Sus scrofa: one gene and its partners. The protein of the gene in region 1 purifies or fractionates together with the protein of each later gene. This does not show direct contact. Links are inferred from orthologs where the notes say so. Each region holds a gene or a part of one and is shown in the gene's direction. Other genes may lie near its edges.

Region 1 (4,299 bases):
AGGTTATAGTCTCAGGAACCAAGTTCCTCCACTGCCTCTGCTTCTTCTCACCTAGGTTGTTAGGACCTGTCAATGTAAACATTTATTAACCTTTTCGTTGGGATTAAAAGGATGAGATTGTTATGCTTGTTTTTCTCTTCTGGTTTGAGAACAAATAGAACAAATTAACATGATCTTATAAGAAGCCTGTTTTCTTTTCTGCAGGAAATATAGTCGTCTTGGTAAAACACTGATTTTCCCCACCCTTCTGCTGGGCTCCCATCTGTTGTCTCTGTACTAGATGCGGGAAGCTGTTTGCTCCTTGCCACCTTCTCCCAGAGCGTTCCTCTTATCTCCCAAGTGTCGATATTACTGAAGTGGCTTTCTTTTCTGCTCAGAAGCCAGTGTTTAGGGGTATTGTGGATAACAATCCTAATCAGAACCATATTGATTCTGAGTGACCTCTCTTGAGCTTGGGTTCTGGCCTTAGGAATTGCTTTACATGTCTCTGTCTCATAACAGCTGTGTTTAGCTTTTAATTAATTCCTTTTCTAACCTGGTCTAGAGTAGCTACTTAACATTTAATGGCATTTTCCCAGCTTCTCGTTTGATTTGTTCCATTCTTTTTGGCCCCATAGTTTCTAATTTCAAGCATTCCTTGGGGAATCTTGGATGGTGGTGTGATTTAGGTGGGGAATGGGGGTCAGAGTCGCATCTTTGCTTTTGAAACCACAGTGCATTCTTGCCGTTAACTCTGAAACAATAAAAACGTGTGCAGTGTTTGGCTAATGAGTGACATTCTGTTCAAGGCTTAGGAGGACCTACTTAATATCCTTTACATCCATTTGTCTATTTTGGGGAGCTACCCCAAACTTATGTGGAGAGAGGTTCGGTTTTCAAGTGTCATTTTCTTCTCTTCCATCTACAGCTTTAGCTGATTATCTCCTGGTTCAAGCAGAACATATCTTGCCACATGTGGAGATGGACTCTTTATGGACTAAGATGGAAAGGAATTGACTCTTAGAAGGCACTTAGCTCAAGTACCCACAAATGGTCCAGTACTTACCAAGCTGTATATTTGCTTTAAAAAAAAAAACAAAACCAGATTTATCAGCAGCTAAGGAGAAACAGGACCTAATAAGCAAAAGTGCCTTGGAGAGTTGAGTGTTTGTTTGGGGGATGTGCATACAGTGTGGTGAGGTTGAACTGTCCTGGAAGGCTGTGCCTGGGAGCTAGAGGAGAGGTAAAGGCTACCTCAGGCCTCCAGCCTGTCTTCCCTTCAGTCGTGTGTTAACCAACCCTGTGCTCTGCCTGCCAGGACTGTTTTCTCGGTAGTAACAATTGTGTGGATTTTTCTTAGGTGGAAAATGGTGTGTACATTTGAATATAGCTTGGATAATTAGCCACTGTTAATTGTCAAATGTAGAGATGGAATAACTTATTAGTGGACAACTGGCACTGTCCTTGCCACCCATTTATTCTGGGATTTGTTTTATTCTCTCATCTTAGAAACCTCCAACATGGGTTCAGGTCCCATAGACCCCAAAGAGCTTCTCAAGGGCCTGGATAGCTTCCTTAACCGAGATGGGGAAGTCAAGAGTGTGGATGGGATTTCAAAGATTTTCAGGTGAGTCTGTACCCTTTGAATTTGTCGTGAGCAGAAGATACTCCATGTGGTGGTGGTAGTTACAGCAGACAGCAGTGAGTGTTCCTTGAGAGGAAAGAGTCAGTGGACTGAGATTCAAATCCAGTTACGTTAGGACTAGCGACAGAGAAAGCTGATTCCTTGGTCCCTGGCCTTATGGAATCTGGGTATTTGGAGAGCCAAAGTCCCAGCGGAAGGAAGGAAACAGGAGCCAGGTGCCCGAATTCTTGGTTCTGTTTTGGGTCACGTTCTGTATTCCCAGAACGTCATTTTCCTTCAGAGATCCTCAAGTTTTTCTGGAGAAAGCAAGAGACTGAGCCAATCCCAATCACATTTGAAGAGTTAGATTGTAGTTGAAGGCTAGAAGTATTCCCCCGAAGCAGAATCCAATGTGTCCTGTGTGCGAGGGATGCAGTGATGCTCACTTCCCCAGATCGGAGACTTCAGTATGTCCCCTCAGTTGTTTTCCATCCTTGGGTGGGTTTCCACATGGCTCCTGACCCACCCCTTCCTTCTAGTGGCCTCTGTGACCTCCCCCAGCTCTGCAGCAAAGTCCCAAGGCATCAGGGTCTCTAGGTGCTCCCGCAGAGTAGACAGCCTTCTACTCTGACTGCTGCACTTCTGACCTTAACTCATCTCTTACAGTCTGATGAAGGAAGCACGAAAGATGGTGAGTCGATGCACTTACTTGAACATTCTCCTGCAGACTCGTTCACCAGAAATACTGGTCAAGTAAGTGGGGACCTGGGCGGCTGGGATGGGAAGATGTAGTTAGAAGGCAGGGGAGGTGAGGCACAGGGTTCCTGGGTCATTGATGGGGGACTCATTGTGTGGGGTGAACTCCCAGGACCCCGAAGGGCATTACAGATTCTCCTCCCTGCCTGCAGGTTTATCGATGTTGGTGGTTACAAGCTTCTCAACAATTGGCTGACATACTCGAAGACAACCAACAACATTCCCCTCTTGCAGCAAATCCTGCTCACCTTGCAGCACCTACCGCTCACTGTTGACCATCTCAAGCAGGTACCCTCAGTCTTCCCAGTCATGGTTCTTCCCTTTTGGTTTAGCGTAGCAGACGGAAAACTGACAGAGACCCTGGTGTGGTTACACTCTTGGGCCTGTGGGGTAGAATGGTGGGGAAAAAATGCCACAGGTGTGGCCTGAAAAAGAAAAAAGTAGGAATTTTAAATCAGAATATTTGGTTTGAGCTTATCACCTTTAATAGGTGTGTAATATGGGGCACTTCCTAAATCAAAGCCTTGATTTTTCTCATCTGTAAGATGGGCATAATTGAACCTATCTGGGTGGCCTTAAGCAGTTAAGACCATGTTTCCAAAGGCTTTGTTAGAGGTAAAGTGCTGTCTCAGTGTTAGTCACCGTTCAAGAGCTCGAGAGTCTGTGGGTTGTTAGCTCTGAGGGGGCTGCGTTTACGCCTGGCGCTGAGCTTCCTGCTGTTCCCTGTCTCCCCTAGAACAACACGGCCAAGCTGGTGAAGCAGCTGAGCAAGTCAAGTGAGGATGAAGGTAAGGGCCACCAGTCCCTCCTCTCTGTCCTGGGCCTTCCTCTGCTACTTCTGCTCAGTCACCTTTGTTTCTAAAAATCTTTTGATGTAAAAGGCACACACTTAAAATTCTTCAGGAGAAATAGTGTCATCCTAGAATGTCTTGTCATCATTTACTTCTGTTTTTCTAAATAAATATAGCATATTCTAGGACCCTCAATTTCTATTTTCCTAACAACAGATAATGCTCGTTCTGCTATAGAGCACGGGCAGAATCCCGACTCCTGGACTGTATCGTAGCTTTGATAGCAACCAATTCTTTCCTTTTTTTCTTTTTCTTTTTATTGGCTTTTTTTGTCTTTTCAGGGCCGTACTTATGGCATAAGGAGGTTGTCAGGCTAGGGGTCTAGTCGGAGCTGTAGCCGCCAGTCTACGCCACAGCCACAGCAACGCAGGATCCAAGCCTTGTCTTCGACCTACACCACAACTCAACAGCAACGCCGGTTCCTTAACCCACTGAGCAAGGCCAGGGATCAAACCTGAAACCTCATGTTCCTAGTCGGATTCGTTTTTGCTGTGCCACAATGGAAACTTTTTTTTTTTTGGCTCGATTCTTTCCTTTTCTAAGACAGAGGGTTTTGGGAGCTCCTGATGAGGGCCATATTGTTCTGGCTTGAAGACAAAGCCTGGGTCCAGAAAGTCACAGGCTCTTCTTTAGAGAACAAAAGAAATAACCCAAAGATTTTATGCCCAAGGTATAAACCAGGAGCACAAGACACTAGTTTCCTGCGAGAGAGCAGTATTGTAGCAGAGCTGGTCCCCGAGCAGCCAAATACAGGCTTGCTCTTCATCTCTGGGAGTAGTGTCCTAGGTCCCTGTGGAAAAAAGCCTTTGGCCGTTTTGTGTGGAGGGAGCACCTAGGCCTGGGCAAGCCTATGTGTAGCTCCTTGAGCTAGAGGAGAAAACACAGGAAATGTATTCTAAGATGAAAGAGTCCTGATTTTGTTTCAACTCACAGGATTAAGTGAAAAACATTCCTTAGCTTTCCTTTCCTTTGGTAGTAGGAATGCTCAGTTTGGGGATTTTTTTTCTTTCTTTTTTTTAAACAAGTTTTATTTATTTATTTATTTATTTTTTGTCTTTTTGCTATTTCTTGGGCCGCTCCCCGCGGCAT
Region 2 (3,500 bases), about 55 Mb from region 1:
GTTAAGGGATGGATTCAAATATGTTTGGGAGGTCCCTTGTGGCGCAGAGGGTTAAGGATCCAGCATTGTCACTGCAGTGGCTCGGGTTGCTGCTGTGGCACAGATTTGATCCCTGGGCTGGGACTTTCCACATGCCACAGGCTCCCAAAACAAAAACTGTCTTCTAGCACATTCCATCAGTGGTACATCACACACTCTGCTCGATGTCAAACATCTCTAACATTGGCCTTATTTACTCTGATTGCTTGTGTATTGCAACTTTTTAACAGCCACTGTTTTAGGAAGGTACAGGGGGGGAATTTTTCTTTACCCTGAGTATCATCACTATCCCCAAATTACTGAGTAATTTACTTGCTCTTTAAATTAACATTTCCAAAATTAAGACTGCTTTGGTTACTTTTGGTTATTTTGATACAGCCCTTTGTGTACAAAGAAGTGACTTTAGTAATTTCTGTATTTTATTAAAAAGCTTAGTATGTCTTATATGTATATAAATTATTTGATGTTTAAACGGTGATACATCTTGGGTAAGCAGAGAGTTTATGAACTGTCCTGAATTTGGGTGGGGGGGGGAGAGTGGTGTCTTTTATATTTAGTGTTTATAATTAGTCCTTCTGCTTCTCTCAGGACTTGGATCATTCTATAGGAACTCAGTATAGCGCCAACCCACCTGTTACAATTGATGTACCAATGACAGACATGACATCTGGCTTGATGGGGCATAGCCAGTTGACCACCATTGATCAGTCAGAACTGAGTTCTCAACTTGGTTTGAGCTTAGGGGGTGGCACCATCCTGCCACCTGCCCAGTCACCTGAGGATCGTCTTTCAACCACCCCTTCACCTACTAGTTCACTTCATGAGGATGGTGTTGAGGAATTCCGGAGGGTGAGGCATTCCCTGCCAAAATCAAATCTGCCATGTTATTCTGGGAAACTCTTGCCCCACAGATTCTACTGAGTATTCTTTACTCCTGTCCTGCCATCTCCTTTGATCTTTTCTGGGTTTAGGGTCCCACCTCTCAACTTATAATTTACATTTCTCCTTCCAATCCCCATTCTTACTGGTCCTCACATACTTTACTAATATCTTAATCTTACTCCTTCTATTTTTAGCATTTCTGAAAATTCTATTCATGTGACTAATTTACCCCATTTAAAAGTCCATTTCTTAAGTTCTGCAGACACAATACTTCCCTTCTTCTTGTAATTTTCTTTTTCCCCTACAGCAACTTCCCAGCCAGAAGACAGTTGTGGTGGAAGCAGGGAAAAAGCAGAAGGCTCCAAAGAAGAGAAAAAAGAAAGATCCTAATGAACCTCAAAAACCAGTTTCAGCATATGCTTTGTTCTTTCGTGACACACAAGCTGCCATCAAGGGACAGAATCCCAATGCCACTTTTGGGGAGGTTTCAAAAATTGTGGCCTCCATGTGGGACAGTCTTGGAGAGGAGCAAAAGCAGGTGAGCAAATAATGAAGAACTAGGGGATAGTGAATACTCTAAGAAGCAAGGGGATAAAAACTAAGTTTTTAGAGTTCCCATTGTGGCACAGTGGAATCGAATCCGACTAGGAACCATGAGATTTCGGGTTCAATCCCTGGCCTCACTCAGTGGGTTAAGGATCCGGTGTTGCTGTGAGCTGTGGTGTAGGTCACAGACGAGGCTCGGATCCTGCATTGCTGTGGCTGTGGCGTAGGCTGGCAGCTACAGCTTCAATTTGACCTTTATCCTGGGAATCTCCATATGCCTCGGGTGTGGCCCAAAAAAGCAAAAGTTTTAACTTTTTTACAAATTCTTATTTGATATAAACTCTTTGTTAATGGCATTCAAGATCATTCTTTGTCTTAAAAGTTGTAGCCATACATGGAATCCAGAATACCCATCTAAAAATTATTAATTAGTAAAATAATTTAGTATGATAATTAGTTATTATAAAAACACTAAATCCAACTTTTTTTTTTCTGCAGTCCATTTTATTTTATTTTTTTTTTCCCACTGTATTTTTTTTTTTTGTTTTAAATCCAACTTTTCTAAGCCCTTTCTTTTCCATCTGTAAAATTAGGCTATGCTTCGGTAGGTTGCATGCTATAGTTAACTATAAAATCCATAACCAGGAGTTCCCTGGTAGCACAGTGGGTTAAGGACCCAGCCTTGTCACTAATGTGGTGAGGGTTCCATCCCATCCTAGGAAATTCCACATGCTGCAGGGGCAGCCAAAAAAAATAAAATCTACAACTGGAGTTCCCACTGTGGCTTAATGGGGGCTGTGGCATCTCTGCAGCACCAGGTTGCAGGTTTGATCCCCAGCTGGACACAGTTGGTTAAGGACCTGGTGTTATAGTCGCAGTGTTTATCACAGCTGTAGCTCAGATCTTATGGGCCTGGGAATTCCATAAACTACAAGCAGTCAAGAAAAAAAGGTATTAAAAAATAAAATCTACAACCAAGTTTGGATTTACATTTTTTTGATTGGCATCATATAAACTTGAAAAATATCATTTGGAGTTCCTGTCGTGGCGCAGTGGTTAACGAATCCAACTAGGAACCATGAGGTTGCAGGTTCGATCCCTGCCCTTGCTCAGTGGGTTAACGATCCGGCGTTACCGTGAGCTGTGGTGTAGGTTGCAGACGCAGCTCGGATCCCGAGTTGCTGTGGCTCTGGCATAGGCCAGTGGCTATAGCTCCGATTGGACCCCTAGTTTGGGAACCTCCATATACCGTGGGAGCGGCCCAAGAAATAGCAAAAAAAAAAAAAAAAAAAAAAAAAAAAAAAAATCATTAATTTCCCTAAATGTAATCTGGATTAAACGAATGAAAATTATGATACTATGTAAGATATAATTGAAATTGAATGGTTTTAATTATCATTACCCTAAAACTCCCCAGGTCTTATGTCACAGTGAGTTGTTAATCATTAAAACAAAAAACTGGAAGTTCCCACTGTGGCTCACTGGGATCTGCATCTCTGCAGCCCCAGGATGCAGGTTTGATCCCTGGCCTGGCACAGTGGGTTAAAGGATCTGGCATATCTGCAGCTGCGGCATAGGTCATAAGGGCAGCTCAGATCTGATCCCTGGCCTGCAAACTCCATGTGGGGCAAGGCACCAAAAAAAGAAAAAAAAAACAAAACAAAAAAAACCTGAATTTATTCTACAATAAATTTATTCTACAAAATTTATATCAGTTACCTACTTCTCAAGTAAATTTAATGGCTTAAGACAGTAGCAATTTATTATTTCTTACGATTCTACAAATTGGTTGGGTGGTTTTCTTGGTGTTTTTGCCTCATATCTACAGTTGTACTCAAATGGTAGCTAATATTTGATAGCTGGTCAAGATGACCTAGCTCCCACATCTGGCAGTTGGTGCTACCTATTGTCAAAAATGCCTTGGTTCTCTGTCATCCTCCAGTAGGCTAGACTGACTTCTTTACACTATGGCAGACTTAAAATAATGTTCCAAGAGAATAAAAACTGATGCCCCCAACATCTTTGTGTCAGTT
Region 3 (3,500 bases), on another chromosome or scaffold:
CAGAAATTGCACAGAAAAATAACGCACAAATGTACAGTGTGTGTTAATGAAATGGAAACAACACTTAAATTTTTTCGTAGATAAATCTGGGGCCCTTGAGATCCCTGTGGCCCTCTGAAAAACACTGATGGGGAGGGGAGATTCTGAGCATTTCCTATCTTAGGTGTTAAAACAAGGAATTCTTAGAACTAACCTAGTAACCTGATATCACTTAAAATCTTCTGTATGAATGCAAATTCATTTATGAGGCTGGAGAAGAGAAGACAAGATGGAAGGCAAAAAAAAAGCTGGCCTCGGAGTTCCCGGCGTGGCGCAGTGGTTAACGAATCCGACTAGGAACCATGAAGTTGTGGATTCGATCCCTGGCCTTGCTCAGTGGGTTAACTATCCGGCCTTGCCATGAGCTGCGTGTGGTGTAGGTTGCAGACGCGGCTTGGTTCCCATGTTGCTGTGGCTCTGGCGTAGGCCAGTGGCTACAGCTCCGATTCAACCCCTAGCCTGGGAACCTCCACATGCCACAGGAGCGGCCCTAGAAAAGGCAAAAAGACAAAAAAAAAAACAAACAGAGAACTTTCAAAAAACAAAACAAAAAAAAAAAGCTGGCCTGGTGGGCAGGGGCTATAGGTGAACATGGCCGATTTGTGTGGCTTAGAGACAGAACTGAGACCTCAAGCCATGCCCACAAGGAGTCCGATTTTAGTAGGCAATAAAAAGACCTTTCTAACAATTTATACACTGAGAAGATGACCCCTTGATCATGATACTGTAAAGAAATCTTGGTATAGAAAATGCAGCTAAATAATCTCTTGAAATCCGAAGATTTTAAGTTCCTATTAGACATTAAAATCATATTCTTTTTAAGTATACTGAAAATAAATAAAGCCCAGCCAGAAAGCTAGTTAAACTGTTTTTTGCCTCTTTTTGTTTGTTTGCTTGTTTTTGGTCTTTTTTAGGGCCACACCCACGGCATATGGAGGTTTCCAGGCTAGGGGTCCAATTGGAGCTGCATCTGCCAGCCTCCACCACAGCCACAGCAACACCAGATCTGAGCCAAGTCCGCAACCTACACCACAGCTCACAGCAACACTGGATCCCCAACCCACTGAGTAAGGCCAGGGATCAAACCGACAACCTCACGGTTCCTAGTCGGATTTGTTTCCGCTGTGCCATGACTGGAACTCCCGCCTCTGTCTTTAAAATGTATCTTTGCAGATATTTTTAATTTTTATGTTAAATCTTATTTTTACTTCACTTGACTAAACTGAGATTTCTCCCCTACAGTGAGAGGGTCCAAACCTGGTAAGAATGTCCAGCTACAAGAGAATGAAATCAGAGGACTGTGCTTAAAGTCCCGAGAGATCTTTCTCAGTCAGCCTATCCTACTCGAACTTGAAGCACCACTCAAAATATGTGGTAAGTTTTGGCACACTAACAGTTACCTTTGATTACGTGATTGACCGACTGAGTCAGTGATATATGTATGACCTTGTATTAGCGAACAGAATCATTTAGCATATATGAATAATCTGGAACTACCTAAAATTAAGTAATTGTAGCTTTAGAATAAATACCTCTGATCTTAGATGGGTTTCAGATTTTCTGAAAATTATTTCACTCAAGGAATGTAAACATTTCAGGAGAAAGGAAAGAAATGAAACAGAATGGAGAGTTAAGAAGAGGCCCTAACTATATGAGTGTATAGGAATTATATTTAAGCTTAAAGAAACTCTGGTTATGCCTAAAAATAGACCTTCCTTGATGCCTTTTTGTAGTTCTGTTTCTACATGAAAGATGTGGATAATCTGTATAAAAACTAAGCTCTATCTGAAAAGTGCTATAGTTATTCTTTTAGCATGTTTGACTACATTAATAAAGTTTGTATGCAGATTTTTTTAAAGTACAATGCTCTTTGCCATTATCTCCAGGGAGAAGTTGAAAGCCAAATGCATTGGTAGGTGTAGTGGGTGTGTACTTTGTTTACACAGGACCAGGGCTCTCAAGAAATGCAGCTGTGCTGCTGTTACAATGCTGGGAGACTGAACCGTTGGAGATCTGATAATGATCAGCCAACCTGAAAGGAAAACCATGTTACTTGGCAAGAAGGTCTCCCTAGGCATTAATAATTCTTTCCACAAAATAAATTCTTAATTAGTTCTGTGTGAGATTCGGTATATATACATACACTTAAAATTTTAATTAAGCTCAATTGAACTAAATAGTATAGAAGATTGGAAATTAATTAGTTTAGTGGTTTGAACTATATGTATGAAGATACTATAACAAAAATTCTTCCTTCTAGGTGATATCCATGGGCAATACTATGATTTGCTTCGACTTTTTGAATACGGTGGTTTCCCGCCAGAAAGCAATTACCTGTTTCTTGGGGACTATGTGGACAGGGGAAAACAGTCATTGGAAACTATCTGCCTTTTATTGGCTTACAAAATCAAATATCCCGAGAATTTTTTTCTTCTCAGAGGAAACCACGAATGTGCCAGCATCAATAGAATTTATGGATTTTATGATGAATGTAAGTACTTTCTGTATCTAAGAAAAAGTTACTTAAATTGAGATACTTGGGCATAAACTGAACATCCTCCTCCTCTGGTGGAGGATTTTTTGGTGCTGCTGCTGGTTAAATAACTATATAAAATGCTTAATTTTTTTTTTTTTTTTTAATCCTTACCTCTACCTTTTTGTATTCATTATTTTCGGCAGAAGAAGGTTTAGGCTGCAAAGAGAGGAGTAGTTAAGGAATTTGATTACTGGCACTTGCCAATATAATTATAACAAGACCAGTAAAGCACTGTCACTGTGGCCTCCCCTAGACTATGTGATCATAACCTATAGTCGCTCAGGGTGTGATGTTTTTCCATCTCAGTTTCACGTAGATGTATTCAGCTAGCTTGTTTGTTAGAAGTACACTGCTGGAAAGGTTACATTCATAGACTTAGCCCTCTTGCTCCCAACCATGGTTGTATATTTGTTTGATCTCTGGCCCCAAGACCCAGCTTATAAAATGAAGTGGGAGGAATTACCAAGGAGAAGAAATCTGTGGGTTCTGACAGAATTCAGCAACTAAGTTAGGAAAGAGAGATTTGATATTGACAGTGAGTCTATCAGAGAAGTATTCTTAAGGCAGTTAGTTACTACTCTTTAGGTAGTGAAATGAGAGGCAGAAAAGTTTTATAATATTGTGTTTTGGACACTTGTATAGTGCTGCTTTTCAGAACAGGTTAAGAAGTGGTTCCTTTTACACAGCTGTTAGTGAAAACTTTCATGTTTTCATCAAAGTTATTCAGACCCAGTGATCTCTTTGTTGTGACATAGATCCTAGTGTGAGGGTATTGGCTACATCATTTTTGGTTTCTGTTTAATGTAGAGGCCTTAATGATGCAGAAGGTCAGCATTGATTGGTGTCAATTTTGGCTCTTGTCCTCAAGACTGATATAATGACCTTGTACTCCAGCTTTCCCCTCTCTCATCAGGCAAGTATAATT

Evidence for each region. The genes of interacting proteins can lie anywhere in the genome.
Region 2: the proteins of PPP1R10 (region 1) and TOX4 purify together in Homo sapiens (affinity purification with mass spectrometry; 3 studies listed by BioGRID and IntAct, counting the BioPlex papers as one, with this or other methods). This does not show direct contact. The link is inferred for Sus scrofa from reciprocal best matches to the Homo sapiens genes PPP1R10 and TOX4.
Region 3: the proteins of PPP1R10 (region 1) and PPP1CC purify together in Homo sapiens (affinity purification with mass spectrometry; 8 studies listed by BioGRID and IntAct, counting the BioPlex papers as one, with this or other methods). This does not show direct contact. The link is inferred for Sus scrofa from reciprocal best matches to the Homo sapiens genes PPP1R10 and PPP1CC.

What each region holds. Positions count from the first base shown.
Region 1 is NC_010449.5:23,155,951-23,160,249, reverse strand, and holds the start of PPP1R10 (serine/threonine-protein phosphatase 1 regulatory subunit 10), read left to right. Parts: upstream 1-1,499; coding exon 1,500-1,606; intron 1,607-2,269; coding exon 2,270-2,356; intron 2,357-2,511; coding exon 2,512-2,647; intron 2,648-3,095; coding exon 3,096-3,147; intron 3,148-4,299.
Region 2 is NC_010449.5:77,685,453-77,688,952, reverse strand, and holds part of TOX4 (TOX high mobility group box family member 4), read left to right. Parts: intron 1-627; coding exon 628-888; intron 889-1,228; coding exon 1,229-1,459; intron 1,460-3,500. UniProt on the Homo sapiens protein: Transcription factor that modulates cell fate reprogramming from the somatic state to the pluripotent and neuronal fate. In liver, controls the expression of hormone-regulated gluconeogenic genes such as G6PC1 and PCK1.
Region 3 is NC_010456.5:32,077,768-32,081,267, reverse strand, and holds part of PPP1CC (serine/threonine-protein phosphatase PP1-gamma catalytic subunit), read left to right. Parts: intron 1-1,281; coding exon 1,282-1,413; intron 1,414-2,299; coding exon 2,300-2,530; intron 2,531-3,500. UniProt on the Homo sapiens protein: Protein phosphatase that associates with over 200 regulatory proteins to form highly specific holoenzymes which dephosphorylate hundreds of biological targets.